2 linked regions of the Lytechinus pictus genome follow. The protein of the gene in region 1 interacts with the protein of each later gene in a pairwise test. Links are inferred from orthologs where the notes say so. Each region holds a gene or a part of one and is shown on either strand. Other genes may lie near its edges.

Region 1 (16,742 bases):
AGACTAAAGCATTTATTTGATGTTAAAAAAGAAGGAAACTAGAAATTTGACGTGTCCAAAGGGCACGTCAATGCGATCAATGCAATCAGAAATTCATTCAATGTGACTAAACTTAATATCGTGCAGAAACCAATACAATTTAGACCTTTGAACCAACTCGTATATTTAATGAGCTGTGACTTTTGACCTGCGGACTCCGAATTCGAACTTAGACTGTATTTTGGTGTCATCTACCTACCCACCCAAAATGTTAAATTTTGTTAAATATTTTTTGAGTTATTGCATGGAAACCAACTCGCATATTTAATGAGTTGTGACCTTTGACCTGCGGACTCTGAATTCGAACTAAGCCTGTATTTTGGTGTCATCTACCTACACACTAAAACTTTTAGATTCCATTAAATATTTTTCGAGTTATTGCGTGGAAACCAAGTGGGGGGACAGACGGACGGACGGAAGGACAGGGGCAACGCTTAATGCCCCCTCCAGACTTTGTCTGCAGGGGCATAAAAAAGAAAGAGAAGAAGAAGAAGAAAGGAATAGAAGAGGAAAAATAGATTACATAGAATGATTCAAATATTGAATTCTATTGCCAAGCTAAAAACACTCTGTGTGTTCCCCATCTGTCCTCCTATTTGTAATTTATTGTTTTGTCTGTTTTACAACAATTTGGATATGTTTTGAAGTATTATTGACAAAGACTTAAAGACAAAGTTGGATTCAAAAGCTTATGTGTGTTTGTGAGATGAACACATAACATAGAACATGTTTTTTCACACCAGAGGGAAGAAAATATTTGAAACAATGACTGACTTAAAGGACAAGTCCACCCCAACAAAAAGTTCATTTGAATGAGAAGAGAAAAATTCAACAAGCATAACACTGAAAATTTCATCAAAATCTGATGTAAAATAAGAATTTTAAGAAAGTTATGACATTTCAAAGTTTCGCTGAATTTCACAAAACAGTTATATGCACATCCTGGCTGGTATGCAAATGAGGAGACTATGACGTCATCCACTCACTATTTCTTTTGTATTTTATTATATGAAATATGAAATATTCTAATTTTCTCCTAATTGTCAAGTGATAGAACGATTAATTCCTCCCTTAACACGTGGAATTAGAATTGTTTAATACTACATGTATATGGTTCAGTCAAGTTGGTCCTATTGTCAAATCTGTAAAAAATGAAATATTGTATAATTCAAACAATAACAAACAAAAGAAATAGTGAGTGATGGACATCATCGACTGACTCACCTACATGTAGTTGTGCATATCACTGTTTTGTGAAAAATAAGCGAAAATTCAAAATGTCATAACTTTCTTATTTTACATCCGATTTTGATTATGATGATAGTTTGACTTTATTCTATTTATTCAAATCAGCATTTTCCTGGGGTGGACTTGACATTTAATTATTTTTTCATGTCCACCAGTAACACGCCTTAGCTCATTCATTAAGCTTCTCACTCTCCACTTGGATGTCTATTCTCATCCCCCCCTAAAAAAACAAACTTTACAAGCCTCACTTCTTGCGTTTACAATGGAGACAAAGAGAAAAGCATTTCACGACAGAATAAATATTCTTACCAATATTAGTAGGGTATCCTACTTCATGAACAGCCGGGTCTAGGTTGATGATGTATGGTGGCTCTTTATTTGCATACAAATGAGCAGTCAGGCGCTATGTCAGAAATAAAGTGATAAACAGTAAACGTATGATTAAAATTGAAAATAATGTCATCAGAAGATATATAAACACTTTCAGTTTCACTTTTAAATATAAAGGTTCAACTTTCAAATTCGATTATAAAAAAATAAGAACGATTTTGCGTCATTGTTGTCAATTTTTTTTTATTTTTTAGAACACATCGTTCACTTATGGGGAAAATAATGTTGGCCGGCAATATGGCTCTTGAAAGTCAGAATTTCATGTAAGGACATGCTCCCAAATAACCACGAACATCAGGCTAACCATGAAAAATCCACCTTTTTTTAACCCTTATTTCTGAGCTGTTATGTTCAGAAATAGCGAATCTGACATTTTGGATGCGAGGGGTGGTTAATGTTAGGTGAGAGAATTTTACCTTTTGTTTCAGATTTATTTTTATTTCATATCTTTATTCCTCCCTTTTCTTGCTTTCATAATTTATTTCTTTCTCTCCTTCCTTCTTTCTTTCTTTCTTTCTTTCTTTCACAATCCTTCAATTTTTCTTTCTTCTTTCTTCCCACCCCTTCCCCCTGGCTTGGTCACATCGCTCTGCTTTCTCACCAAGACTCTGAAAAAAAATGTTTGATTTTAAAGAAAACTCACTTTTCATGCCTGCATTTAAGTATTACATGTACATAAATAAGTGATAATGAATAAATCATGGGTGTCTGAAACTCTGAATGTCTGCAATGATCTACATGTATATACTGTAGACTATTATGTTGACTTTGCTTGAAATTTTAGTTAAAATCGTGGAACAGAAATACAACCTTTAAAAAAGAACCCCCATGGGCTCCAAATAGCCACCACAAAATACATTAATGGTGGCTAGTTTTCAGGGGGATCTAAAGACTAAACATAGCCCTCATAAAAAGAAAAGTAAAACTTTTGGATGGCCACGATGACTGGAAACGAAAAAAGCTTCGTCCGTTACTCCCCCAAACTTGGTTATGAGAACGAATATTCGTCAGATTTAACACTTAATTATCCCAGCCCAGGATCATAAAACCACACCTCAGAGATCATTAACTTACTCATTTCAAATTTTTCTTGCTTAAAGTTAAACGAGCATTATTATCTGTTTGAAAAAGTTTATTGTTTTCTTTGCTCAAAAAGGGGACAAACAGCGATACGAAGATCGCGTTTGATGTAATGCCGATGGATATTCAATACTATACAATAAGCAAATGCCAAATCACCACACGTTGGTGACGTCGCGCCTCTTTTTGATGAAAAATACATTGACTCTAATACTAGGAGTACCAGTACAAAAGTGAATGGGGAAAAGGGGTGTCAGAAAATGGAAATACCCACTCCAGTCTGCCACTCAAGCTGTTGAGTTGCATATACATGTGCGTGTATGTAAAGGCACGATTCTATGAACAAGGTTATGATATAACCTTGTTCTCTGTTTCTACTCCCTGTGCGGTGAAATAAGGTTGGCAATGTTTGGCTTATTTTCTTTTTCTTTGGGACAAATGCTTGATTTTTTACACTGTCAGTTTCCATTACAGCTATTCATCATATAACTTGGCTCTTAGGAAAATTTGATTCTTTAAAGTATGTTTTCTTAATTAAAAATAGAGATTGAAAAATTACAATTGTCTTGCCATATTACTTTCCACAAAAATATGCCCAAAATAAAAGTTTTTGAACGCTCTGAATACAAAAATTACTCCAAAGTTAATAATGAAAAATAAATTGCAACTGTATGCAAATTAGTATTTTTGATCACAACAGTGATATTTAAATGATTTTTTAAATTGTTTGCTGTGTGTAGCATTGGCATACCATAGTCCATGTAGATTTCCCACAGGCAGGATGGTAATTACCTTGAGCGAAGTTTGTGCAGGCTCCACTGCACTTCACTACCGCTACACTATGCTCCACCTACCCGAACGTCGAGACCGTGAACTTGATCTGATATTCGGAGTGACAAAGGTGGGATTTTATGGGGGGAAAATATAAAATTCATGCAACATCACAATCTTTAAAAAAAAATTAAAACTAATATTCTTACTTTACACAAAGTTTCGCTTTTTTTCCATGCTTCTATCAGTCTCAAAATTGGTGATTTAGAGCCAACATGAAGTTCCTCACACATATAAATAATTCGCTGCCGATTTCAAAACATCGCATGCGTAAGTGTCCGAGCTCATATCGGACCCGGTACCTCCCGCTTATCGCATCCGCATGCGATGTTTTGAAATCGGCAGCGAATTATTTTATATGTGTGAGGAACTTCATATTGGTTCTAAATCACCAATTTTGAGACTGATAGAAGCATGGAAAAGTGAAACTTTGTGTAAAGTAAGAATATTAGTTTTAATTGTTTTTAAAGATCGTGATGTTGCATGAATTTTATATTTCCCCCCCCCCATAAAATCCCACCTTTGTCACTCGGAATATCAGATTGAGTTCACGGTCTCGAAGTTCGGGTAGGTGGAGCATAGTGTAGCGGTAGTGAAGTGGAGTGGAGCCTGCACGAACTTCGCTCCAGGTAGATGGTAATGAACCCTTGGCCTTGACTGAGTGATGTAATCGTAAACACTTGTTCACTGCAACCATCCTGCCTGTGGTGAATCTACAGGGAGGACTTTGGTATGCCAATGCTGTACATAGCACACACTTTAAAATCATTAAAATATCACTTTTGTGACCAAAATTACTAATTTCCATACAGTTGCAACTTATTTTTATTGGTAACATGGGAATAATTTTTGTATTCACCAGAGCGCTCAAAAACTTGAATTTTGGGCATATTTTTGTGTACACCCTCTATTGGTGGAAAATAATATGGCAAGAAAATTTTTATTTTTCAATCTCTATTTTTAATTAAGAAAAAATAATTTAAACTAAGAATCAAATTTACATAAGACCCAAGTTATACACAGTGACAAATTGTGTACAACGGATAGCTGAGCGTGAACGTAGCAGACGTGTTCATTTTTGCTTATTAAATGACGTCATCCAGCCACTGCCGAGATCCAATTTATGAAAATGAAAATATAGTAATAGTAATTAGTATAAAGCATGCGCAGTGCAAGCCTTCCATTTCCCCAGAAAGTATTCCACGAAAACAAGTCTGCAATTCTCTATCACCTCGTACCAAAATCGACCTAGAATTTCACTGTCCTATATTATATATGAATTATGAAAGGTATTCTCGGAGGATCTATTTTCTCACCGATACCGCACAGGTAAGCAAATTTCGATTACTTATTGCTTTTCCGTCAGAATCTTACGAATTAGCGTCGATATGGCATCGTGTTCGTCGGAATTTGTAGAGTCTATCGCAACGTGCACAAAGTCAATTGGCTTCCCGGTTTCAGAGCGTCGCGTGAATATGCATGAAATTGCAGAGTTTCGATAATCTGATCGATACCGGAGCGATCCGATCACGAACCAAGACCATTCCCCGCGTACACAACGTGACCGGATATCGTTATCGCTATCGATACTTCCGCACGCAGTCCGAAGGAATTATTTTGGCGACCACGTGGTCATGACGTGATCTGCGCGATTGACCAATCAGCGGTCTCCGAATCGCTGTGCGGAGATGATCTATTCGTTGTACACAGTCTATGGATAATTGTTCCTCGTGTAATACGTAGGGCTGGGACTAAAACCCGGGTACCCGGATCCCGCCCGGAAGCTTCGGGTACCCGGGTAGAAAAATCAATACCCGATACCCGAAAATTGCTCACCAGTATAACGTACATGTATTTGATTTGTATTGCGTAGTGTAAGACATGATTGTAACTCATCACAAAAGTACACAAGTCTCATTTTGAATCTCACCAATAACCCTCGAAATATCCATAAATATACAAGTTTTTCAAGTGATGATGATGTGACAGATCGTTCAATCGTCGCCATGTTTCTATTGCAGCGCAGTGACGTCATCCAGTCACTGCGACGCAAGCAAATTTATGAATGAAAATATAGTAAGCATGCGCATTGCAAGCCTCCCGTGCCCCACGCAATATTCCATCGAAAGAAGTCTGCAATACTCTGTCACCTCGTACCAAAATCGACCTAGAATTCCACTTTCCTATATTTTATATGAATTATGAAAGGTATTCTCAGAGGATCTGTTTTCTCACTGATACCACACGGGTAAGCAAAATCTCAGTTTGTGTGCTCACCAAATGCACATGATGCTGCCAATACACGACAATAGTCGAGTGCAATATTCATCGACTGTCTCATCATCACTTTGAACTGCTTGTCGAAATGCATGTCTCTCGAATACCACATTCTTCCAGGGCTCAAAATATTTGGTCAGAGCCTTCAGCGTTGTCTCATACTTAGGCTCATCCTCATCTACCAGTGTCTCATACAACTCTTGAACATCTGGTCCAGCACAATGTAGTAGAAGAGCCCTCTTCTGACCATCTGCTGAGACTCCTGATGCTGCAAGGTAGTACTCAAATGTCCGCCTCCATTTTGGCCAGGCAATCCCTGCTCTAGCCGAACGAACATCAAAGGGTGCTGGCTGTGAAAGGTCCACGCGTCGAGCCACATCCTCTGCCTTTTCAGGTTTTTTTTATCCTCGTCGCCAATTTTGTGTATGCGTATTCTGACTCTAATACACACTTGAACTCATACTCGGTCTCGATTTCTACTCATGTTCTAGGCATGTCTGCTTGTCTGCTTCACCCACGATACGGACGCTTGCATCGCGTAACGTTGGAGAAGAACAATAGAAAACAAGATGGCGGCGTAAACATCGGGCAAGTCTCTTCCGTCTATTCATGATATTTTCCTCATTTTTTTTGATGAATTCTTGTCTAGAAATAAAATCCATAGCGTAGAGATGTCGGAAATGAAGTTGTTAGTTGTATCCCAAGTACATGATTTAGGGCTAGATCTTTTAGAAAGAAAGTAGAAATCTCGGGGGCGAAAGTTTCAGGTTTTTTGGTGGTACACACAAAAGTATAGGAAGGAAGACCTGGCTTCGTATGAGAGTAACCTTACGTTAGTAAATGATTTTTACTCTCTAGAAGCCTCCTGGCTACGACCCCCCCACTCACACGTATTGCGAGGTTAGTATTAGTATTACTAACCTCGCACCACGTCCACGAACCGCGTTTGGCAGTGGATTTCTAACTAGTGGGTAGCGCGTGCTGGGATCTCACTTCTTGGGTCCACAACACACGACTTCTATGGCTTGAATTTTCTGTGCGCGGCGGCATGTAATGAACCCTTGGGTAGCCAGGCGGCTTCTAGAGAGTAAAAATCATTTACTAACGTAAGGTCACTCTCATGAAGCCAGGCCTTCTATCCCATAGACCCACACAATGGAAGCCAAAACCTGAAACTTTCACCCCCGAGATTTCTACTTTCTTTCTAAAAGATCTAGCCCTAAATCATGTACATGGGATAAAACTTCATTTCCGACATTTCTACGCTCTCGTTGTTATTTTTGAACAAGAATTTATCAAAACAATGAGAGAAATATTGTGTAAAGACGGAAGAGACTTGCCCGATGTTTACGCCGCCATCTTGTTTTCTATAGTATTGTTCTTCCCCAACGTTACCCGATGCACGCGTCTGTAACGTTGGCGAAGAACAATAGGAAACAAGATGGCGGCGTAAACATCGGGCAAGTCTCTTCCGTCTTTACACAATATTTCTCTCATTTTTTTGATGAATTCTTGTTCAAAAATAACAACGAGAGCGTAGAAATGTCGGAAATGAAGTTTTATCCCTACATGATTTAGGGCTAGATCTTTTAGAAAGAAAGTAGAAATTTCGGGGGCGAAAGTTTCAGGTTTTTTGGTGGTACACGCAAAAGTATATGACGGAAGCCCTGGCTTCGTATGAGAGTGACCTTACGTTAGTAAATGATTTTTACTCTCTAGAAGCCGCCTGGCTACCCTTGGCCTGGGTGCGACCCCCCATCCTACAGTACAATTCAATTGTATACTCAACACAATAATCAATATGTGGGGCATGGGCTAAGCATGGACGCATTTTTTTTTTATTTACCTGAACGAAAGTCGTTTTACCAGAGCCTGCCATCCCTAATACGATTAAACATGGTGGTTTGGTGTCAGTGTTGTGCAATCCCCCAGCAGAAGCACCTCCATTCTCACCGTCTTCGCTGCTAACTCTGTCACTCTCACGAGGTTCAGAAATACCCATGGGCGTCGCCATTTTGGCTTATCAAGATAATGCGCATACGCGGCTGCTGCTGATCATGATTGGGGTTGGTTAAGTTGGTTACGTTGGTTGGTTCGTTGGTTGGTGGTTCGGTTGGTTGTTGGTTGGTATATTGGTTGGTTGGTTAATTGGTTGGTTGGTTGGTTAGAACAGTTTGTATTCTTAGATGGTGTTAAGTCTTATATATGCAGTCAATTACATGTGTCAGAGTGCAAGGTTCACCTTATTTCTCATATGATTTCCTTCATGACGCATACATGTAGGCCTATACATGTATTTCTTCTGAAAAGAACCCCTGCAATTTATTGTTGCACTAGCTGACTGTCAATACAGAATTGATTTCTGTTAACGAATGGATCATTGCTAACATAATGAAGCTTGAACGTATACGTGCCACCCTGATGTTCAGATAATAATCTTATTATATGTTCTGCATCTCTATAATTAGGAAAAATTGACCAGATGCCGAGATCTCAGATCTTGTCATCATCTACATCCTGTGGGAGAGATGACAATATCTCATCATATATCTACATCCTGTGGGAGAGATGATATGAGTTGACATTTGACAAGATCTTGGATCTCGTCGTGTCTACATGTGGGAGAGATGGTCAGATGACTGAGATCTTGGATTCGTCATGTCTACATTAATGAGTTGTGGAGATGATGATCAGATGACAAGGTCTTGGATCCATGATCTGCACTGCATGGATCATGATGTAGACATGCATGACGAGATCCAGGATATTGTCATCTGATCATCGATCTCAAACGGCATGTATAGATATGACGAGATCCAAGATATCTTGTCATCTGATCATCTCCCATATTGGATAAAGACATGAGATCGAGATCTATTAATTGTCATCTCATCATCTTTTTGAAGGATTGTAGACATGACGGGATGATTATCTGAACAAAATCAGGCTTAATTTCCTTGAATCATTTGTTAAAACAAACTACATGTTATTCAGCAACACTCTAGCAACATTGCCAGCTAATATTACAACTAAGGCATGCGGTTCAGATTACTGAAGTCTTGTGCAAAATTCCTTGGGGTTAAACATTGGAAGCAGAGTTGGAATTAAGTTCACACTTCTTATTTAAGTAAACTTCTTTCCAGAAATTCAAGAGTCATTAATTCATTATTCAGAGTACATTTCCAAAACGGGCCGGCTTTGCCCCCCCCCCCCCTATAGTCTGCTATGCAGACTCTGAATGGCTCGTTAGGTGGGATCTCAGCGCGAAGCTAGCCTGAAAGGGCGAGCGAAGCGAGCCATTTCAGATCTGCAGCTACAGTAGACCTAGTCTATGCAACTCCTTGAATCAGCTGTGGTTCACACACTGCAGATGTGGGTCTACATTTGTAGACTAGCCCCCCCCCCCCCCCCTCGATCCGCCAGTGATCTCATACTGATATTTTGTTTGATGAAAACAAGTTCCTAAATTTACATGACATATTTGATTGGTTGCATTATGTATCAATTAAATAAAAGAGGAATTCCACTTGCCCTTCGATTTTAGATTAATTTAGATTTATTCATTTTCCGTTCAAAAAGCACAACAAAATAAAAGTAACAATACATAGTCAGATTTAAAGTACAATATTAATCGGAATAATGCATAAGAATTAGAAGGTATAAACAATGAGAACTATAATGCGAACTAAAGTAACTTTGACTATTAACTATATAAAAAAACAGAACGGAGGGGCTTGCCAAAAAAGCAAAGCTTGTATGTGAGGCAAGCCCCTGTCTGCCTGTAACTTAGTTTCAATACGTAAAGACAACATTACAAAACTATAGTATAAATGAGAGACGGAAGACAGTTTAAAAGGAGACTATACAAAATATCGAAGGTACCAACGAAAGAGTGACACAAATTAGAATAAATGATAATAGTAATAATAAAAAATAAATGCTCCGTTATGTGAATTGAATCTATTAGAACGTCTGGCATCCGCCAACATTTTGTTCAAAACAAAATGTACAAAATAATACAAAACAAATATACAATTCAAATACTATAAGCAGATAAACAAAGACAAAATAGTATTTTATCAAAAAAGAAAAACAACTTAAGTCTACTATTAAATAAATAGTAAATGCATTACATGTAAACACGATGTGTAAGAATATTACGAATATATTACTACAGAATGTTTGCAGGTTGATATCTTTAGTACTCTTGCTGACATTTTATCTTCAGAAATCACCCCTAATAGCAATTATGTTTTGGATAAAAGAACAAAACTATTCAATAAAAAAACTTCAGTTTCAAATTTCATATGTAGATACATTTTTCGTGGCACTCCATAAATAGCTTAAAGTACAATAAAGCGTGATTTAAAGTTTATAGCAATCCATCTACAGAAAGCTGACCCAGGTTGTGTTAAACGCATCTAATATCTTACGCTCTTATGTTGCAAAACATCATACGCACAATTGTCTGAAAGTTAATAATGAGCAAGATAAATGTAAATTCTTCTTGGGGTCGGCCCTATAAAGGGTGTCATCAATGATTATAAAAATAAGTTCATAATTTAACTATAAAATCCTCGTTTCTTTTGTTGAGTCTCAATAAGAATATATGAATTTATATTTTTATGAGCATTCACTATTTTATCATGCGTACTTTGAACAGAGAGATTTTAAACGAATGCTTCCAATGGTTTATTGGACCCTACTTAGAGTTTAAAGCTATTCTATTTGAAAAGTCACAAGAAGTTAACCCTTTTTTCAAATAATAAAAATCCATATAGGCATAAATAAGGTTAAAGTTTCGAAGGATGCTTGTTTATCTTAATCCCATTTTCATGTTTGTAGTTTCAAAGTTGCATTTGTTCACCAGATAATTGCCTGATGCAGTCTCACATTGTGCACGTTTTCATTATTGAATTTATTACATTTTCCTTTGGTGTGATCTACGTTGCCTATAAACTCAACATATTGTTGAACATTATTTTTATTCATTACAATTACATTTTGTCTGAACAACATCTTGGTCAGATTTACCAAGTTTCAAAATGTTTCATACTGTAGAATCCATATTCGTGTAAATTTTTATTTTTAGGGATGCTGAGTTTTCTCAAATGTAATTATACCTTTTGATTCATCATTTTGTATCATTTTGTAATGTTAAGTTCAATGGGCAAAGTAATTTGTCAGGGATAAATGAATCAGACCATTAAGATCACATCGATATTCCTTTGAACAATTCTGAAAACACTTGTCTCTTTCTTGTTACTTCCGAATGTGTCAATGCATTCTTACACATGCAGGCCCGTCAGATCAAATTTTCGCATACGTTCGTAATTCCGAAGCTTCGTTATTCCGAAGGTTCGGATATTCCGAAGGTTTGTTATTCCGAAGGTTCGTATTTCTGAAGGTTCGTAATTCCGAAGGTTCGTTAGTCCGAAAACGAAATGAGGTTCGTAATACCGAAGGTTCGTTAGTCCGAAAACGAAGTGATTAAAGAACATTATTTCGTTTTCGAACTAACGAACCTCCGGAACAACGAACCCTATTTAGTTTTCGGATTAACGAACCTTCGGAACAACGAACCATATATTTCGTTTTCGGATTAACGAACCTTCGGAACATCGAACCTTATTTCGTTTTCGGATTATCGAACCTACGGAATAATGCCACAAATGTTCGGAGTAACGAACCCTTTTACGTTTTTGGATTAACGAACATCGAGGTATAGGCAATTTACGTGTTTCAGAATTACGAACCTTCGGAATAAAGAACCTTCGGAATTACGAAGTGTAACCCGAATTTTAAAGTGGTATGGTTATGGTAAGCTATTTGACCCATAAAGACGATAAACTATGTTTATCGTCGATGGGTCAAATGGCTTGCCATATATGGTATGATTCTGGGATATTCTCGGTAAATCAAAATGTTGCGAATCTAAACGACCCTCTGTCTTAGAACAGGTACATGCTGGAGGGTAATAGACTTGTCCATTGCCTTTAATTATCACCTTCATATAGATGATGCGAGCGGTTCCCTTATATTTTGTAGAGGAGACCCTGGCCTATAATCTAGGCGGAGGTAGCATTTATTGTCTTTGTCACATCAGACGTATCGCTTGCGTTCAGCATAACAGCAAAGACATTAACTATTACATTAACCGTTCAAGACATTAGCCTCCGCCTAGATTATAGGCTATAGAGGCCCGGGCAGGTTCCGTTTTGTACCAAAATATATCAGGGCATATTTTGACACATCGTCACTTTTGTCTAATTCCCTCATTTTTTTTCTCCTTGTTTTTTTTTCAATTGTATGTTTCACCCTTATCTTTCTGTATTTTATGTTTAACCTCAGTTTCTTCCTCTCTGCTCTTAAAGTCTTTAATGATTAAATGCCATTTTTCCTCATTTTACTACTTTTCCTTGTCCAAGTGTTTTTTCTTAATTTGGTAAAATTGTTTAAGAAGGCTGCACATAAAATATTTTGATTGTCATTATCAAAAAGAAAAAAATTGTAAAAGTCGACTGACTGAAATTCGCTACTGTCTGCAGACAAATATTTGCACATCATGATCATGAAGCTTATCTGCCACAAGTCATGACTTGTTATAGTTATGACCTTTGTAGCAATTAAAACATTATGCAAATAATGTGATAAGCGGCGGGATATAGATTTTCCTTTGGATACTGCAGGCGTGGCTTGATTATAAAAAAAAAAAAAAAAAAAAAAAAAAAAAAAAAAAAAAAAAAACAGAAATAGAAATAAGGCATCGTCTTCAAGATCCAGCACTATCAAGCATTAATTGCTGTAACTGGTTATTCATCTGGATTGCTTGGATTAGTAAAATATTTGTTTAAAGAAATCCACCATAGTTGTTCCTGCGCCTAAATACGTAGTAGCTGAATTCTTGAACAGGTTGAATGCTGATTTGTGTATTACTCTGTTACTTCTATGTTCAAAGGTAACATTTTTCTTCCCTTATTTCAACAAAATCAAATTCTTGTCATTTTACCGACAACTTTATAGCTCCATGGTAATAGACCAGTTCGTAGTTACTTCATGGACAATTTTGGTCAAATGACCTTTCATTTCTTTCATTATGATATGTAGATTTCAAAGAAAGATATTACATAAGCATGCCTTACATAGCAGGATGAAGAAACTGAATGGACCAGGTGACAAGAATAGCACACTTATGAACACTTTATGAAGGGATTTGTTGCATTCCTATTTTGAAAGCATATCATAGCATGTTGCACAATGTACTTGGCAAAATGTGAAATACCAGTCGTTCGTGGACGCATTGTTGTTTTGTGTGGATGTACATGAAAAAACACAATTCAAAAGAATATATGCATAATCAAGACATCAAAGTTGGTGCTTATATGAAATGAAAACCAACTTTTGATGATAAAAACTTAGTAGAAATTGCTGAACAGGAGATGTCTGAAATATAAATTTGTTTACATGTCCTCAGATGCAGCTGGAACCAAAAAACCTAAAGCAGGGTTGGATCCAGGATTTCCCAAGAGAGGGGGGGGGGGGCACATTTTCCGAGGGAAAAATTGACAAACAAAAAAAGAAAAGAAAAAAAGTGTTTTAACCAAAAATTAATGATATTTCGTCCCCGAAAAAAATTGACATGAAAAAAATAAGGTCTTTACTTTCAAAGGGGAAGGGGCACGCTTCTCTTTTAATAGCATTTTTACATTATAATTTTTAATTTTGCTTCTCAAGGGGGGGGGGGGGGGACACAGCCGGCCCGTGGACCCGCTATTGAGCTAAAGGTTGTGCTTACCTAGGGTAAAATGTTTATGTGTTACAAAATTTGAAATGTATCGGTTTTATTTCAATTGACTGAAAGTGCAAAAGAATAATTGTAAGCAATGTATGGCACGGTTAGTTTGTTTCGCCGTTTTTTCCCTTATACAGCGTGAAAATGAGCATTTATGCGCAAAACGATTTCTGCGACCTTTACAAATTGCTCACACACGTGTAACATTATGTCATTTTTTTTAAACTTTCATTTGATAGATGAGACCCAAGCCCAAGAATATATGTAAGAAAATAATCCACATGTTGTATCTTTCTCAATTCCCAGGACCACTGTAAATGTTATTTGTATATCTAATATTACTCATTTTGAAATTTCCTTCACATGTTTTATATTTATTTGTCTCTGGTTCGGATATACAAACTATCGAACATACAAGTATCAACTAAAATGATAAAATACAGCAGAACCTATGTGTAGGTGGCATAATTGATTCCCTTATTTGCATACCGATCAGGCCGTTGTGATTTATCGTTTTCTGATATTAAGCGAATTTTAACTAGCATAACAATAACTTTACTTTTCTGCATTGATAACCGTTTTCATTGGGCAGTTGGGTTAAGAAGGTGGGTTTTTTTTAAGCTGACGTAGCCAACGTGAATTGTTTCATGGACCCGTGCCACGTTGATGTATTATTTATGAAGTTATTATGATGTATCTTATGAAGTAATGAAAGTTATGAAGCAAGTTTATTTTGTATTCACTGGTAGAAGCAATAAAATAGTACTTTAATATACATAATTTTTTATATATTTTTTTAAATGGAAATTTGCTTTTCAGAATTAATTTTGTTTTCCTTTCAAATTGTTCCTGGAACAAAATCATGTCCATTGTGTAGTGATGACCTTTTTTGCTTGTCAATTATTATCTAGCAAATAATGACCTCAATTTTTAATGGAATACCCTTTTTTGCTTGTAAAATTATTCCTGTGACAATATGCCCCTTGAAAAATCCTAATTTTGACACCTCTTTAAATAATCATTTCAGTAGAAGATATCTTTTCTCATTTTTCTTTCTTTTTACCTCAGTCGACATCATAATACAGAAAGGGCTAGCTACGGTCTAGTGTGAGGATTGAGTAATAGAAAGTAGATCCAGGTTCGTCGCTTTGGTTCGCGTTGAGAATAACGATGGAGAGGGTCGTAGCGGAGGAGGTGCGGGTGTTATATCAAGACAAACGTAACATATGAGAGAAGTCAAGACTTTGAAGACAAACTCATTAGAATTGATGTGGATTGAATTCCAACTGAGAAATCATAGACTGTACCTTCTAGGAAAAGTGTGCAGACAGACAAGAGCTGCCTTCCAGTGTATTTAAAAAAAACGTAAGACAAATTTGAGTTGCATATTTTTGGTTCAATATATATTACAGATTTGTTTTTTATACCGTTGATATACTAACTGCAGTTTGAAATACTATAAGAATAAGATCTATGCTTTTGCTAGATATTTAAAGTGTTGTGCTAATTAAAAACAAAAACAAAAGGTTCAAGGTAACAATAATTATGGCGACACTTGAGCACACCGTTTCGCAAAATCTAAAGTGTCCGGTTTGTTTTGATTTGCTTACTTATCCAAAACAACTGTCATGTACACATACGTTTTGTAAAACATGTATTCGAGATATTCTGGCGTTCTCTTTACTTAAAAATATTTTGTCGTGTCCAATATGTAGAAATACTACAACTGTCGCGAATTGCGATGTTGCAAACCTTAAAACTAACATTCCTGTTAAGTCACTTGTTGACGGCTTCAGGAATAGTAAACAGCTCTGTGACACGTGTGACAAGCAATCAAGAGCCGCACACTTCTGTTGCGATTGTGGTAAGAATATGTGTAACGCATGTCTGCAAGATCATAACAACTGGAACCCTAATCTTAAACACAAAGTAGTGAGTGTTGAGGACATCAGAGAGGGAAGGGTCGTCTTAGAGAAGAAGTTATATTGTCGGGAAAAGATACATAGAACTGAGAAGTATGAATGCACTGATGTATGCACGACATGTAAGAAGCTCATTTGTACGAGATGTCGCATGCTCTACCACACTCCGGAGAAAGGCCATCGTGTTAAAGATGCCGGGGAGTACACCGCCTCCATCAAAGATAGAGTTGAAAACCTACAGTCACGTGGTGAAACTAAAACTAAAACAGTCAAGAATCATATGACTTGTATTGATCATCAAATCAAACGCGTCAACTATCACATTGATGGGGAAAAGGCAAAAAACAACAGGATTTGCGAAGAAGCTATCAATAAAATAACAGAGAGTAATGCTACCTTGAACAAGCAACTCGATGATCAGAAAGAAAAATTAGTTAGGAGTTTAAATAATATGAAAATTGATAATCAAAGGTTAGTTAAGAGTATTGAGAGTGCGAGTGATTTGTTGAGTAATAGTTTGAAAGGCCAAATAGAAGGAGATGCTGCAGCAATTTGTGATTCATTGTCATTTGAATTGAATAATGTATTAGATAGGGATAATCCAAAGAAGATGGTTGCTATTGATGTCGGCGATCATGCAGAGGAACTGACGTTTACACCAAGCTGCGATCCTGATACATTATCAATGGGGGAACTGAGGTTTGTGAAATGTAAGCCGAAATGCAATGCAGCACTCTCAAAGAAGGACGCTATGAATGGCATAGCTGCTTCCAATAATGGTATGGTAGCAGTTGGTTATAGCGAAGGGGGAATCTATATCTTCTCTCCTAATTGTCAGCTTCAGGAGGCAGTGATCAAAGACGTATGGATCGTGGACCTAGGATTCCTCTCTGATGGTTGTTATGCTGTACGTGATAGATATAATAAGATGTCATTGTACACATCAAATGAAGAGAGACAGGATGTGACATTCGATACTCTAGGTAAGAGTGAAGGTGGAACAGGTGGTCTCGCCGTTGACAGCAATGATCTGATCTATGTTAGCTACAGGAAAGCTAAGAAGATCCAGGTATTCTCACCATCAGGTGGGAAGGCTATAAGGGTGATACCCTGCGATGGGTATGAACCAAAGCAAATCACAAGTTATGGTGATTCATTGATCG
Region 2 (17,495 bases), on another chromosome or scaffold:
TTATTATTAATATAATTTTTTAACAGGGCCACACGGAAGACCACCAAATTGGTGATATGTGTAACCCTGTATAAATATCAGAAATAAATAAACAAATACATGAATAAATAAATACGTTCCATTATTATTGATATGTCAAAAATCTCTCACATAATGTCTTCCGCCATAATCCAAATATTGCCAACACTATATGAGCTAACAATCTTCCAGCGGGTATTTGATATATAACAAGTAGGCCGAGGTTATTACATACGTGCATGTAAAACCAATATGACCTACCTCTCCTTTAGGCCAGCTACATCAGCTATCTCCTGTGAAGTCAATGGTGTGTCGTGAAGATCTACTAGAACTTTAAAAAGACCGCTCTTGACTCCAAATGCAATCGAAATCCCAGTGAATGCTCCGCTCAGCATATCGAAGATTCGGGAGGAAAACTCCTCCGCCGTCTCTTTGGCATATTTGTCCGCCATTTTCAGGAGAATCGTCCGTCGCCTTGCTAAACCAAAACGAATATGAATAGAGCTTGACCTGAACTTGAGCCTGGGTAGACTTCGATCTGTGCTGCAGATCCTGGGTAGCTGGTATATATTATGGATGCAGCAGCGCCTGCTGCTGTGCGGTCTAGCATAATGTCGAGCAAATAGTCTCTATTTACTAGGCTATATATATTCAGTAAAAGCAGATAGTACATCTAACCCTTGTAAAGTGCGTCCCAGGAAAAAGGACACCGTGATCCCGGGACCAGGAATCCCGCATCCCTTTTCTTAAGAGGCAAATTAATTATGATATTTTATTGACATCATCATACTCAATTATTCCTCTGCATTTTGATATGTGACGAACACTTCACGCATTAATGAGCAAGACGAGTTTGAAATTTTAATGTCAAAATCAGGTTGCGCAGAAAAAAGTGACAAGATTGGACGACAACCGTGCTTATTGGACGATTGGCTCAGCATTTCTTTTTTATTCTTAAGATTCCCTCAGTGATCCTTGAAATGTGAGTGGATTCAGATTAACACGTGAGTTTCTGCGCAAATCGTTTCTGATAGGCCTCAATATTAATCACTGTTTTTAACCTGCCATGCGTAAATTATATGCTAAGGTGTTTGTCTCAAATTAAAGATAAGATTCCACTCTTACCATGGGTATCAAATTCAAAGTAAAAATATGTTAAATAATTGTGAAATCTGTCTCTGAAAACGGGTTTCCTTTTTTGTGGGACGCAGTGTATAATAATGAAATTTGCACCAGGAAACCAGTCGTTTATGACGGCCATATGGTAAATACTGAACTCGCACGCGTAGCATTTGTCTTTAATTGCTGCATTAATATCACTAGATTAATATGCAGGTAGATTGGTTTGTGACATCTAAATTTTTGTAACATCAATCTTAAAGTGCACGTGATTTATTTGAAATAATTATCGTAGTAAGATAGCGACTAATAAACAACGATCGAACGAATTAAAGTAGAGGTACATGTCTCAGTTGCACTCGGGATATATTATGATAAGGGATAAGGAAATATATTACATTGAAGGGGATTGGAGTCAATGGTGTGGTCGTCGTTGTACAACATTTCCATTAAACTTTATTTTGTATAGGTATTCTGATTTACCCTTTGAATTAAGCGCCGTGGTCTAGAGCTGCAGAGGGACGCGGCGCCAATTTATGAGTCTTGGGCCGTGCCCCCATCCAGACCTTTTACCCTTCATCACTCTTTAAAACGCCCCTTTTCTTGTTTTTCTCTTGTTTTTCTTCTTTTTACTATAAAAACCATGAGGCCATTGTCCCCTGATCATGAAATATAATGAATTACATGATCATACATGTACGTGGAGGAATGTAGGCCTATATAGCCTTTGTTTTGCACCAAGATACAAATTGTGAGTAAGCATGCATGAATGAGTATAATTATATGCGGTAATGCATATTGTCAGACCTTGCTGTGATTATTGTTGTGTGTAGTATGCACTGCGCTTCATGATTTTTTTCCAGAGAGATTAGATAATTCATTAAATCGACCGTATGTACGCATTTTGCAAACGATTTTATACGAATGACAAGGCCATCTCCAATCTGCCTGTTGTTACCTCATAAATTTGCACATTGGTATGGTTAGATTTACTTTTCATGTTTTACTTCCTGTCAAATTGAATAAAACAAATGAAAAATAAAATGAAAGCATGTCATCCCATATTTCGCGGGAAAAATTAGAAATAAGTCATGATCATGCCTAAAGGGCAGGTGAATCTGTTCACCCGTCGGGAGCGGCTGATAATGTCTATAGTGGTGTATGGATCGCGTGCTTTGGCTGTTGCTATGTCGGGTATCTATGTTTGACATGGTAGCAGCTTTTGTGTGCGATCTGCATATGCATACTGCCGAGTATGTGCATTGGATCCCAGCGGGTGGATGGAGACACTATATGCCCCTATATGTCCGGGCGTGTGTTTCAGTATAAACACATGTTGTGCGTTTTGGAGCATCTATTCATTGCAAGCCTTATTGGCTTTTACGGATGCATCCTTTTCCATAATTGTTTTAATTATATTTCTTAATTTACATATATGTGTATATATATATATATATATACATATATATATATATATATAATAACAAAAGATATGATGCAAATGATCATATTGGCTTAATTGAGTACGTTACTTTCTTTTTTTTTTAAATTGTGATGGAAATGGACTAGGAATACCAACACATTCTTATATAAGTTAGGACCCAAAGTCATCTTAAAAACGTAGTTATCATAACAAATTTAAAGGCCTATATATACTACAATGGAAATCACAATATGGAATTTTCCTTAATGTTTTGTATGAAATTTTGGAAGTAAACAACAATGGAACCGGTACTAAATAAAGTGCCAAAGTAAAGTCACATTTGAACATTTGGCAGTATAGGGCCCACTCCTTGTAAAAAATAAATAACAGAACTTGATGGAGGGGGGAATTGTGTGGATAAAAGAAAGATAAAATTTTTAAAAATAAGTAAAATAATGTAAAAAAAAAAGAAGAATGATAATAGGCCCTAATGTGTAATTACGTAAAGGAAAGTAAACGAACAAACATAAATACAAAATAAAAAGCAATGTAATAAGAATAAACTATAAGAATAAACATCAATGGTAGGCCTTTAGACAAAACCGGGAATGGGAGCATTGTCATCATGAGACATAAAGACACATTATACATGTTATAATCAGTTAATTGAGAAGAAAATTCCGTTGGTACAGGAACTCTTCCCCAGAGTTTGATACCCCAGACTATTATCATGATTATGACCCACCTTCATGGGCAACCTGAAAACATATACTTGTATACAAAAATAGTGCTTTGTGACAGACATCGACTTATTTTTCAAACAAATGTTGTTTTTTCGACTATTATAGCTGCGCCTTGAGCATTTAATCAAGATGGAAAGTGCGCCACACAAGTCTCACGTATCATTTATTATTTATTTTATTGATATATTCATATTCCACAAAGCACATTTCATAATAAATCATTTTTACAAAGAAAAGATGCATCAACTGCATAACACAATCATGCAGGATTGAAACGTACCAATGAAATGAAAAAGTGGAGGGGCCTACTGTTAAGCAAAGCTTGTAAGATGTAGACACCTATCAAAAAATTAAACAAGGGTAATATGATATAAGTAGAGAAAAAATTATCAAAAAAAAAAATTCTACAAATTTATATATAGATATAAGCACTGTAACACAAATGTATATAGTCTATATAAAAAATTAAATATTGACTTTAAAATAATCAACACTACCGTGGAAAAGTATGATCGAAGTTTATATATATTTGTTTGAATCAGTAAGAATTCAAAAGAAATGTTTTGATGAGTAATTTAAATCGATTCAGATTAGCTGCCTCTTTTTTTACTCTGTCCAAATGAATTCCAGAGTTTGGTCCTTTGGTCCTGTGGAAAATACAGTTTTGCTAGAAAATACTCTGTTTATCTTTTAGGTATGGTGATAGTCACAAGACGAGTGAATGAAATAAGATGAGGGGAAGACTTAGAAAATAAAAATAATCTTTCGTGTCATTATATAAAATTTCCGCTCGCGCTTCGTGCTCGCATTGCCCGTCAGGTGATTTTCATATCTTGTTCATTATAGAGTTTAAATATCAAGTTTGAAAGTCAATAATTATACAAAACATATTTCATCTCGGAAATCGAACCTTCATTATTTTGTGTGATTTACAAATTGATTTGTAAATAGTGCTCTGTAAAAATTCCAGTTATATGGTCTGAATATTAACATTTTCTGAGTCGCGCTGCGCGCTCGCAAATTATGATTTACCAGTTACCTATTATTTTCGTGTGTTCCATAAATTTTACAAAATATCCCTTTTCAGGTCTGATTTTCAAAACGTATCAGCTAGCGCTGCATGCTCGCATTTTGATTGGCGAGTTATGTATGTCTCAATAAAATCCCCTTTTCATGACAGTGTATTAAAAATTTAGGCTCGCAATTTTTGCTGGATTAATGTTTAAAAATTTATTAACTGATGCATCCTACTTATAAATATAAAAATGCTTGAAATGTCCAGTTTCAGGCTATAATATCATCATAAAAATTATTTCTCACCCTCATTAGGCATGAATGAATAAGATATCAAAATTAATAATTAAATTGACCCTTTTGTTTCATCTCGCCCTTAGTAAGAGGAATAGGAAGACAGTCATCATTTTCATATGATGACATGTCCTAAGGATGTCGTGGTCCTATGTCAAAACTCAAAGTAATTATGATGAAAAATATCAGTGCGATCCATATCCACCTCACAATTTTCCTACAAGGTGCTTGAAATATAGAGCTGAAATCGACTCTTTTTTTTCAGATCGGAAAAAAAAAATTTAAGCTCGCGCTTCGCGCTCGCTTTGATTTTCATCGTTAAAGATGTATTTAGAATGCCCATAGATTCTAGGTCTAAATATGAAACCTGCGCGCGCATATTTATTAAGATACTCAACTTGTTCTCTGTTTAAATCATTATCAAGTTTCAGAAAAAAATTTCTCCTCGCGCTTTGTGCTCGCATTATTAATGTAGGAAGATCCCCTATTACTCATTCTTTTCATGATTTACAAACTATTTTTAGGTCTAAATCTCGATTATTTCCGCTCACACTTCGCGCTCGCATAAATTGTTGAGTGCAAGCAGTCCTTAATAGATACCTTTTCGATCAGTACAAAACGTATATCAAAATTTTGTGCTCGCGCTTTGCGTTCGCAATTTTAATGTAAGGAAGATCCCCAATTACTCATCCTTTTCATGATTTATAAGACATGAATAGATTGTCTTGTTAAGTAAGTCTAAATCTCGAAATTTTCTTCTCTCGCTTCAAGCTCGCATCAATTGTTCAGGTATATAATCATGATAATGATACCTATTCTGTTTAAGTTACAAAAAGTGCTTAGAATTTCCATTCTTTGGGTAAAAAATGGCAAAAAAATCAGCTCGCGCTTCGCGCTCGCACTATTTCATTTTTAGAATATGTAGCGTATTCATGGCTTACATGCATGAATTCTTTAACATGTACCCTTTCCATCAGTTCATTTCTGCTCGCCCTTCGCGTCCGCAGTAATTATTTAGTTGCATACACATCTTTTTCAGGATAACAAACATTGCCCAGAATGTTCAAATTTTAGGATAAAAATACATAAGATTTCCAAAAAAAATTAGCTCGCGCTTCGCTTGAATTATATGAATAAGGATTGATTTATAAGAATAAAGCTAAGAATTATTAGGACTTCCCCTTCAAAGAAACCAAAAATCATTTTCGAGCGGCCGATCGGGGAAAGTATGGCTGTAAAAAATTTCGCCCCCCCCCCCCTTATTGGCGAAGGCTGGATCCGCCTGCATACGTTTGAGCTCTAACTTAAGGACATATTGCGTATTATTCTCAGTACTTTTTTCTGAAGTAGCAGGACATTGTTGAGTCTCGTTTGACATGTTTGATAGGCATTTCCCCATGCCAATCCCATAATTAAGATTATGGTTCTTGCACAATACAACGTGGATAGCGCCTGTGCTGGAAGAACGTTTTTAAAGGGCAAGTCCACCCCAACAAAAAGTTGATTTGAATAAAAAGTGAAAAATCCAACCAGCATAACACCGAAAATTTCATCGAAATCGGATGTAAAGTAAGAAAGTTATGACATTTTAAAGTTTCGCTTAATTTCACAAAACAGTTATAGGCACATCCTGGCTAGTATGCAAAATAATGAGGGAACTGATGACATCACTCATTCACTATTTCATTTGTATTTTATTATATGATATATGAAATATATTCTAATTTTTTCCTCATTGTCAAGTGACACAATGATTAATTCTTCCCTGAACATGTGGAATTAGCATTGTTTAATACTATATGGTTCAGTCAAGTTGGTCCTTATTGTCAAATCTAAAAAAAAAAGAAATATTGTATAATTCAAACAATAAAAAACAAAAGAAATAGTGAGTGATGGACATCATCGACTGACTCACCCCCGGGGGGGGGGGGGGCACTCAGTATATAATGCATAGTGGGTATGTGCCGCGGAGGGGACCCCCATTTTTACACTCAAATTTGCGTTCCGAGGCATAGCATTTTTGTCTTATTGAGAAAAAGAACAAAGAAAGCCGCTCCAGAGCATAGCATTTTTTTCTTCTCGAGAAAAAAGAAGAAAAAAAATCCGGCCGCTCCAGGGCTTCGCATATTTTCCGTTACGCCGTTCCGGTCGCAATTTTGGTGAAAAGCGGCCGTCCGACCATCGCCTCTGCGCTAGCGCGCCCGTCAGTCGTGCCGCCGGGCTAGCTGCAAGTACGTTCCATAGGGATGCATACGCACTCGCACGCAGGCGACCCGTTCCAAGGACCCCCGTTTTCACAAACATTTGTAGTTCCGAAGCCCGTTCCGAGGACCCTCCTTTTTACAATGAGCCCGCTCCATGCAAGGCCCCCGTTTTTTGTCTCGCCCGCGGCACACCCCTACCACTTTTTTGGTCGAGTGCACCCCCCCCCCCGGGGACTCACCTAGTTGTGCAAATTACTGTTTTGTGAAAAATAAGCGAAATTTTAAAATGTCATAACTTTTTTATTTTACATCCGATTTTGATGAAATTTTCAGCAATGATATGCCAGTTTGATTTTTCTCTATTTATTCAAGTCAGCATTTTTCTGGGGTGGACTTGACCTTTAAGCTTATTGATGACTCCAATATTTCTTGCCACAGTATATATTGTTGATATGAGCATTACACGTAGGCCTAAGTTCGTTTAGTATAAGACCTAAAAATTTGTTGTTTGCACTTCCTTGATTGCAGTATTATGCGGCAAATAAAACATATAGTTTTTGCAGATTCAGTGACAGTTTGTTGGCCTGAATCCAGTTTGTTACTTTTTTTTAAATTCTGCATTCATAGTGCTCACAAGTAAATGTGGATCATGATGTGTGTAGAAAATATTTGAATCATCAGCAAAGATAATAAACGACAGAACATGAGATGAATTGTTCAAATCATTAACATAAAGTACAAAAAGAAAGGGCCAAGAATACTACTTTGTGGAATTACATAGGTAACTAGCCTTAATTGTTGGAGATTCTGATTCATTTACGGTAACAAACTGAAATCTAACAGTAAGATATATTCTATAAACCATTACCGTAATTTAATTGATAACTTACCGTTTCATGATCTATTGTATCAAACGCTTTTGAGAAATGAGTCGAGGAACAATTACCCTACGTACGCCCTACGATATGATCAGAAATTCTGAATTGTTTAAAGAAGTATACAGATATCTTATTTATTAATGCCAATATAGAATGAGTTGTCTTTTCTCTAAAACCGAATTGATTATCACATAATACTTCTTATGGAAAGCAACATGTCCTCTTATAAAAATTTAATTATCCTTTCAATAATTTTTGAGAACGAAGTTAACAAAGATATTTATGGGCGGGAATTACTAGTAATTAATTGATCTCCCTTTCTGAAAATGGGTCTATTTTCATCTTCTTTGGAACCTGACCAAGCTGCAATCATGATAAATTCAATTGAAGCAGAGGAGAATTCACGACTCTATTTGTAATGCCATCGTGACCAGGAGTCTTTTCAATAGAATGAGTACCTTAAGTTCAACCATATTTCCATCTACACAAAATTTATAAACAACACTATAGCTTTGTTAATTTTGTTTAGAGCCCCATTTATTGTTTTTTCATGTATTTTTAAGTACGTTTTTACTATGATTATTTTCTGAATAAAACCTCTTTTTTGTTATCATAATTTGATGTTTTTTCTATTATGTTGAGTAAAAACCGGCCTTTTTAGAAATCAATAAAAAATGAGTTCTAATTAATTAACAGGCACAATTACGTTATATATCATGTGCCAAATTGATTTAGATTTTTTTTAAATTCAAATATTGGTATTATCGCATATTTGACTAGTACGGTCAAAAATGCGATAATACCAATGATAATTAATATCTTATCTTATAGTTTCACTTACCAGTCATTTTTTTCTCGGATTTGTGGCCTAGATTAAAGCAGAAAAAAAAAAATACTCGCCGCCCTGCACTCCCAACTTGAAGAATGCTTTAAATTTTGCGGGACCTTCTTTTGCGTGCCGATCAATATTTATTTATTTTCTTTCAATAAGGATTGATATGGGCAATCTTCATCTTAGTGCAATTCCCTCATAAATTTGTTTAATTATGATTGACCAATTAATTGCACAGCTGAGAAAGGGTATTTTCTGTTTATATACCGTACGTGTGAGTAAAAAAAAATTGACCCCTCACAATTAAATCCCCAATTTAAGAAAAAAATTATTCAACATGACCTGAAAGAGAATGGTATCCCAAATAATTTGGCGCAAATCAAAATTTACATCACTGCCTCCTGTCTCCTATAGACATACCACATAAATATGGTATGATATTATTTGGGGAAAAATAATCCAGCCATAATATGCGTTCATGACATACATATTTTTTTACTTAAATTGGGGATTTGTGAGGTGGCAAGTTTTTTTTATTGTTCAACTCGCACAGGATTACTCTTATTATTAAGGTTCTTCCCGAAAGCTTTGAAGCTGCTGAAAGAGATTATACGGATATTACTCTTCATGCAAGGTTCAAGGTGAGAAATAACAAGGGAAATAACAATTGACAGATAGGCCGATAATAGGTTTTAATTCACTTTAATCCACTATATAGCAATATATTTTAAATAGTGAAGTCTAAAAATGCATTTGAAATGAAATGAAAGTATTCTAGAAAAGTCAGTGATATACAGTATATATGGTATACAAAATTGGTGTTATTTTTTTAAGTACGGTACGCGTACGGTCGTCTAACTAACGCAAAATTGAAATAATAATCTGAGCAGGACGTCAGAAGAGTGAAACTTCAGAATTCGATGGCTTAATTAAATGTAGGCCTAGTTCATTTGCTTTCTCCTCATGTAAGTTGAGAATGTGATAATTTGATCGTGTTTCATTTATTGGTTATTACTAAAAACATAACTGCGTGATAGGGAAGCTGATAATAAGTCTAAATGTTAGAACTTATTCGATCAAGTTGTAAGGTGGAATTGAACAGAGCTCCGCAGCCGGCATGCACTGGCCACTGCAGCCATGGCAGTTGCAGGCCTGGCTCGCCCGCCGTGGACGCCGCGCCGCGGCCGTGGTAAAGCGGTTGCTGCAGAGACATGAACCGGTGTACATTGACATTGTATGGCAGTGAGTCCAAACTTCGCGTGTGTCCATACTTCGCGGACGGTCATTATCTAAAAAACTAGACAATATTCTTAAAATATGACATCAACTTGAAAAGCGACTTAAAATTACCTTTTGGCGTAATTTTCTTTTTTACTTTAGGATGAGTTCAGTAGGCCTATTACTATTAGTATTAGCCTAGTATTCATGAAAATATTGACAAAAGATCGGCAAATTTGTCAGTCACTGTTAAAAAGTGTTGGCGCCCGTTCCGAAGAAATCTTTTATTCTCAACAAGCATCACGATATCATCATTTTGCAAGCAGATATCATCAAAAATGTGAGTTAAATCTGTCAGTCCGCAAGCCCCTGTGTTAATGAGCAAATGAGCAAGATTTATCCAAGTCCTCTCGTGGCTGAATTCATGTCCCTGCAAAATCTCGTGAATTGTGAGACTTTCTTTCTCAAAGAATTTAACCACTTTCTCCTCGAGTAATATTGATTATTTTTGTACCATGGGCAAGAGTAAATGTTACTCTTTTATATTGGTCATTTCTTTTGAATGAAATATTTTGATAAATAAGTGATTTTTTACCTGAAAAGATGCATCAAACATAATTGTTTTCCTCTGTTTTCACTTGCAAATTGTGCAACATTCTGTGTTTTAGGCACCAACATTATTTATATCATCAGAAAGCTCAAACTCTATACTTTCTTACAATGTCACTCTTGATATGTGGCATCTTTTAGATGGGTCAGCAGCCAGCTTTATCCATCAAGATGCAAGACGAGATTTCTGAAATTTCTGAGTAACATAAAATCCAGAGTTCTGATTGGCTGAATACTGTTTTCAAAACAAACAGGCGCGGGTAATTTGAAGAGATTACCACATGGTGAGTGTGACCTTGCAGAGGCCCAGTGTGAGGAACATTGGATTTGCGTGGGTGTGTGGCTCTATGACCAATCAGAGCGCAGTATTCTTGTTTTTGAGCTGCAAAATGTACTTGGCCTATGAAAAGCTCGCTGCTGACCCATCTAAAATACATCTTCTTATTAAAATTATATCATATTAAAGCTTAGATCTTCAGCTTTATCATGATCTAAAAATCATTTGTGCCCAAACAGAAATTAAGTGTGAAAACAACAACTTTTGTTGCATGAAAAAAAATATTTTGTTTTATGTTTTAGATCAAAAGTTTTTCCTATATTACAACATTCTTTTAAAAATCCAAATACATGACCTGAAAGAATGATTCTTCTTCTTTACAAAGATACCAAAAACATGAAATTTGGTCAATATTTAGAGCAGCAATGGCCGAATAAAAAGAGGTGTTTTGGTTCGCACCAAGCTCATTAACTATGCAAAAACCCTCTAGTCATGAATATCTCTTGGATAAAAGAAGCTACTTTTTCAGGGCTTGCGGACTGACTGAAATGTGGTACTGACTGATTCTATAGTATAGCATTTTGTCGTCAATTTGATATAAATATCTCATCTTTTGAGCTCGAGTTTTTGTTTAAATCTCAAAAACTTTGGTCTGCGAAGTTAGGTCACACTTTTTCAGAACGGTTTTCCAGCACAGCGCACATTCGTAGATGGGAATGGAATTTTGAGATCGCGATACCGGCGAAACCCCTTGACCTACTTCACATTTTCGTCAATAATTTTATAATATACGATCTTGCCGTCTATGTGGTAACTATTTTTTTGATTGATTTTGTATAAATTGTTAATATTTTGTAAACAATATTAAGCCTGAAGAATATTTTGAAAAGTACGCGAAGTTTGGACACCCCATCATATTTGTACACGTGCGTGGAGATCGGATAGAGGGTACGATGTCCGGACACCTAACTTAGATCTAAAATATAGGCAGATACGCGCGCATCGTACGCGTCAGAAATTAATTTCACACGCTCAAAACTTTGCAACATCCTTCTAAAGGGAACTTGAATAGAAAGATGATGAAAAATGGTGAAAAACACATTTTCAAAGTCTTAATATTCTAAAAATAATATTAATAAAATATGGTCAAAATAGCGTAGTGATTTTGTTGTTATCTCAACTTTTCCCATAGAAAACACACTTTCGTTAATACGATACCTTTTTCAAGTGACCAAAATATTCACATGCGAAGAGGGGTCCGACTGGAAGCTAATATCGTAAAAAGGAAAAACGATTTCGGCATAATTTTTACATATTTATATTTTGTAGGTAATTGTGTATTTATGGTGAAAGTTTGGTGAATTTTATGAGAATAATGTGTTTGATATGATTGAATTCATGAAAAGTGTTCGGTAATACGATCCACTACCATACTAGTACTAGTACTCGGACAGAAGTAGTCTCGGCTCGGACATGCCGGACTAAGTTTATGCATCTAAAAAATTTGTATTTGTACTGTAGTCCCTGGCTTGGGACTCGGTGATCACTGACTCAGTCTTGGTTTTTTATTTGCTTTGTTATGCTGATTGAAGGATAGAGAAATTGTAAAGTGCCATTCCTTGGGAGGAAGAACTTTCAGCTGTGAGTGATGTCGATCAGCAGTGGTCTCATCCTTATAATCGATTGTGCTAAGGGAGAATTTATTCTTTCTATTGAAACAAGCGGTAGACGTACATGGGGCAAGGGTAGTGATTTTCCAATGGATTATGACACCTTGAAGTTGATGAAGAAAAGGCATAGAGCCTGGGAGAGTTGGACAAAACTGTAGAGAATATACAATCAGAAATAAAGTGTAGGCAGCTAAAAGATATTGTCAGAAAAGATATGAGTCTAACATTGCCATTTGCCAAGGAGGTTAAATCTAATCCTAAGAAAATTCTGGCAGTATGCGAAATTCAAGACAAAAGTGGAATACCACCTCTATTACAAGAATGTACTGGAAATAGGAATTAATTGACAAAATCTGATGTAGAGAAATCAATGCACTGTTGAAACACTTTTCTACTGTATAATACACTCCTGATGGACCTATCCCTTCTGTTCAACGCCATGATGTCCTAATTTGGACACAGTAATTATTACTGAAGAATGTGTATTGAAGAAATTAAGTAAACTAAATGTTTCTATTAAAATCACCAGGTCCAGATGGGTTACATCCACATGTTTTGCTTGAAATGGCACCTGTTCTTGCAAATCTTTGAGTATTATCTACTCGAACTCACTTGCATCAGGCGTAGTCCTAAGTATTTGGAAGAAAGTCAATGTTAGTGCAGTATTCAAGAAGGGAGATCGTAAACTCCCATCAAACTACAGACCTATAAGTCTTACTTGTATAGTATGTAAAATCATGGAGTCTATTCTAAGGTACAAAATATATGAGCATGTGAGAAGCAACAAACAACCTTCTCAGTGTAAACCAATTTGGACTTGTATCTGGTTGATCCACTATGTTGCAGTTGCTCCAAGTTTTAGATGATTGGACAAGAATGTTGGAGGTCGGCGGGACTCGGCGGTGCAGTTGAAGCATACACTTAGACTTCATGAAAGCCTTTGATAAGGTCCCGCACCAGAGTCTTTTAGCCAAAGTAGAGGGATTTGGCATATCCAAACCCATATGTGAGTGGGTCAGATCTTTTCTGGTCGGTAGTAAGCACCGTGTTTGTGTTTATAATGATGGCTTCTCTGATTGGGCTGATTGTTACTAGCGGAATTCTGCAAGGGAGTGTCCTTGAATCCCTGCTTTTTGTCATGGACATCAATGATCTGCCGGATCAGATTTTATCAAGTAATATTGATTTATTTGCAGATGATACGAAGATATAAAACATGTAGAGAATGACAATGATGCCGAGTTATTACAGGCAGACTTAGATTGTCTTGTTTCCTGGTCTGACAAGTGGCTGTTAAAGTTCCATCCAGATAAATGTTGTCTACTTACAATGGGAAAAAAGAGTGATGAATTTAATGGCTACACAATGACACATGGTAATGCCACACATAATCTATCACAAGTTGAAACAAGTAGATTTAGGCGTCATCATTGACACAAAGCTTAGTTTTGACCAATATTTTCAGGCAAAGATCAATAAAGCCAATAGGTTAATGAATTTGATGAGATGAACATATGTTTATTTACACAAGGAGAACTTTTTACTCCTACATGTATAAAAGCTTTGATCAGACCACATTTACATGTAGAGTATGCACATGCCGTATGGAGTCGAAGAAACATATTCATGCATTAGAAAATGTACAGAGAAGGGCCACTAAATTGGTACCTGAGGTAAAAAACTTCCATACAAACAAAGATTGATCCAACTGAAACTCCCTACATTGAAACTTACAAGTTATTTCATAGATATGACCAGGAGGTAGTGCCAGATTTGGGTCAGGTTCATGGGCCTACCAGATGTCAATTGTTTATTCCAAGATCAGTCACTGAGAAACGTAAGAAATCCTTATATGAGAATGAGAAAACCATGGATGAATTAATAGTTAATACACCCAGTGTCTACAGCTTCAAGAACGGACTGGACAAATATTGGAGAAGTGAACTAGTGAAGTTCAAGTTCGATGCTGACCCACCAGCATATGATCCGGCCAATTTAAAGAGAAGAAGGAATTTGGAACTGAATACATAATGACTTCGTTCAGTACATTCCCTAAGTATCCTAAGTAGATGCAAACATTAGGCCTAACTTATGATGTTATGTACTAGATCTAACTGAGAATGAGATATTCAAGTTTAAATCGATTTAGATCTAGGCCTTTCTGTTAGACACTAGATCTAATGAATTGCAAGGCCAAGGCAGCATGTGGAAAATGAAATGAGTTTGTTTAATGTTAGATGATTGTGGGCATTAACGGAAAGACAAGACAGAGTATACGAATGAGGAGACTGATGACATCACATCATGCACTCACTATTTCTATAATATGAAATATTCTAATATTTTTCTCATTCTCCTGTGAAACAGAGTTTTCTTCCTCCCTGAACATGTGGAATTACCATTGTTTTAACATTTTATGGTCCAGTCAAATTGGTCCTTGCTGTCAAATCAGTAAAAATTGAAATATTGTATAATTCGAACAATGAAAAAACAATAATAGTGAGCGACGTCACTGACTCTCAGTTGAATTGTGCACATAACTGTTTTGTAGAGATAAGCGAAACTTTAAAATATCGTAAATTTCTTATTTGACATCAGATTTTGATGAAACTTTCAGCATTATTCTTGACGGGACGTATTATGGTATCACGCTTGGTGTCCGTCCGTCTGTCCATCCGTTAACTTTTCCTAGTAAACGCGATAACTTCAGTTTGACTAAACCTAGGCTCAATTAATTTGGTGAGTATGATACTAGCCTGGATCCCAGGAAGCCTCTTGATATTTTGAGGTCAAAGGTCAAGGTCACAGTGACATGTTTTCATCTTACCCTTCTGCAGTCCTTGTATGCAATAATTTCAGTTTAACTTAACCTAGGCTCATATAATTCGGTGTGTGTGTTACTAGCATGGATACCAGAAAGCCTATTAATTTTGAGGTCTAAGGTCAAGGTCACCATGGAAAAAGGTCAAAGGTCAAGGTCACAGTGACATGCTTTATTTTACCCTTCAGAAGTCCTTGTAAACATGATAACTTTAGTTTAACTTGACCTAGGCTCATATAATTTGGTGTGTATGATACTAGCATGAATCCCAGGAATCCTATCGACTTTGAGGTCAAAAGGTCCAAGGTCATTGTGACATGTTTTCATCTTACCCTTCTGAAGTCCTTGTATACATGATAACTTTAGTTTAACTTGACCTAGGCTCATATAATTTGGTTTGTATTATACTAGCATGGATCCCAGGAATCCTATTGATTTTGAGGTCAAAGGTCAAGTTGCCACCTGTAATTTCTTTGGTTGACCACTAACTCCATTTTCCACATTACAGGTGGGCGTATTATGTGCTCGCCCTAGCGACAATCTACTTCTCTTTTGATTTAAATCAACATTTTTCTGGGCTGTTCTAGACCTTTCAGTACCGTATGAAAGATGAAGAGTATTGGCACAGATTTACTAAGGTGGTTTTGAACCCTGGGCCTGGCTTGGCCTTGGATGATAGATTGATTCAGAGTGTATTATATTTTAAAAAAGAAAGTGTCTAATAAGACCATGAAGACAGCGCCTAATATAATGAATGCTGATTTTGCTACAGCAAGGGTCCTACATTCATGCTTGTCATGACAATGTCGGTCGCATTGCCATTAGCTACCAACGGACATTCTTCCCTGACACATTTAAACTGTGGAATGGGCTGTTCCAAGATGCCATCAGCTGTACCAATTTAGCCCAATTCAAGCAAGTGGTACAGGAAACTCAGCTCTGCTAGATAGGGCCACTTGTTTTTAGCTGCACTTTCCAAGCTGATGAATTTGTTTAAACCTGCACTGTACATATTCAGATGCCTACCATACCTGCCAAAAGTATGATTACACACCAAAGGTGGACATGGAAGAAGAAGAAGAAGTTCATCAATATTTACCAATCATTTTCTTTCATAATTCAGTCTTGTGACCATTAGGTCCATTTTTATAAAGACTTGCAACTGCATGTAGGCCTATCTAACTTTACCATTTTAACGAGGCTCAGTAGCCAATCACATTCAAGGATTCCATGGAAGTTACAATAATGGCAAAGTTAGTGTACATTGTAGTTATAATTCTTAACATACCCCAGAACTTACATCGTCTTGAATCTCTCATTTTCAGATTTGACTTAAATAGAACAAGCATCAAAACATGGCCTTTGCTCAAGTAGTAATCGGACCACCTGGATCTGGTAAGACCACCTACTGCAAGGGAATGAAGGAATTCCTCTCACAAACCGGACGCAAAGTGACCATCGTGAACCTGGACCCGGCCAACGACTTTCTCCCCTACGACGTTGGAGTGGACATCTCTGACCTTGTCACCCTCTCAGATGTCATGGAGAAGCTTCGGCTTGGACCCAATGGAGGCCTGGTCTATTGCATGGAGTATTTGGAGAAGAACCTGGACTGGTTGAAGGGCCAGTTGGATAAGTTTAAGGATCATTACTTTCTCTTTGACTGTCCTGGTCAGGTTGAGCTCTACACACATCACGATTCAGTGAAGAACATGGTCGCCCAGCTCCAGAAGTGGAATTTCAAGGTGAAGTATTCCACAAATTAAAAATGGAATTGAAATAAACAACATTTTAGTGTATCATTTGCTAACGAGCGGTTGGCAACGGGCCGGTGACCGCTCGAAAGCCTTTGATCCCATGAGTTCAATTTTTGACCGATTACGTTGGTGCCCAGACGGTGACCACCCGGGCACTGAGCGTTTTTTAATTTAGGGTGGCAAGTGAAAAGTGAGCAGGTGCCGCCAGAATTTTAACTCCACCTTAAGTCTTGAGTGGCGACCAAGCGATGCCCCCAAAAACCAGTGGTGCCCGGGCGAAATTGGCTATAAAACTCGCTGCTCGTTCCCCAAGCAGTCTAATTTTGGAAGTTGTGACCATAGCCTTATAGATAGTCACTGACAAAGGCCATAAGTTGCTTTGTTTTAATATTGGGTTTGTTTGATTTCATTCTGAACTAAAGACCCAACTTTTCCATCAAACTTGTGAATAATTTGAGATATATTGTTGAACCGGGGCCTTTGAATGTTTTCTTACAGATAAATGGCACTATACAACTGCTGTTTATCATCAATATCATCATCATTCAGGATCTTAAAATAATTTGTTATTTCTTTCAGCTATGTTGTGATCATAATTGCAAACCTTTAGGTCAGACA

Evidence for each region.
Region 2: the proteins of GPN-loop GTPase 1-like (region 1) and GPN-loop GTPase 2-like interact in binary tests that used the Homo sapiens proteins (3 or more experiments, as listed by UniProt). The link is inferred for Lytechinus pictus from reciprocal best matches to the Homo sapiens genes GPN1 and GPN2.

Annotation. Positions count from the first base shown.
Region 1 is NC_087252.1:17,438,949-17,455,690, forward strand, and holds the start of GPN-loop GTPase 1-like, read right to left. Parts: upstream 8,318-16,742; 5' UTR 7,880-8,317; coding exon 7,712-7,879; intron 1,691-7,711; coding exon 1,597-1,690; intron 1-1,596. Other genes in the region: E3 ubiquitin-protein ligase TRIM33-like, read left to right, coding at 15,203-16,742. UniProt on the Homo sapiens protein: Small GTPase required for proper nuclear import of RNA polymerase II (RNAPII). May act at an RNAP assembly step prior to nuclear import.
Region 2 is NC_087248.1:21,488,967-21,506,461, reverse strand, and holds the start of GPN-loop GTPase 2-like, read left to right. Parts: upstream 1-9,390; 5' UTR 9,391-9,490; intron 9,491-16,445; 5' UTR 16,446-16,475; coding exon 16,476-16,865; intron 16,866-17,495. Other genes in the region: S-adenosylmethionine-dependent methyltransferase Rv2258c-like, read right to left, coding at 280-470. UniProt on the Homo sapiens protein: Small GTPase required for proper localization of RNA polymerase II and III (RNAPII and RNAPIII). May act at an RNAP assembly step prior to nuclear import.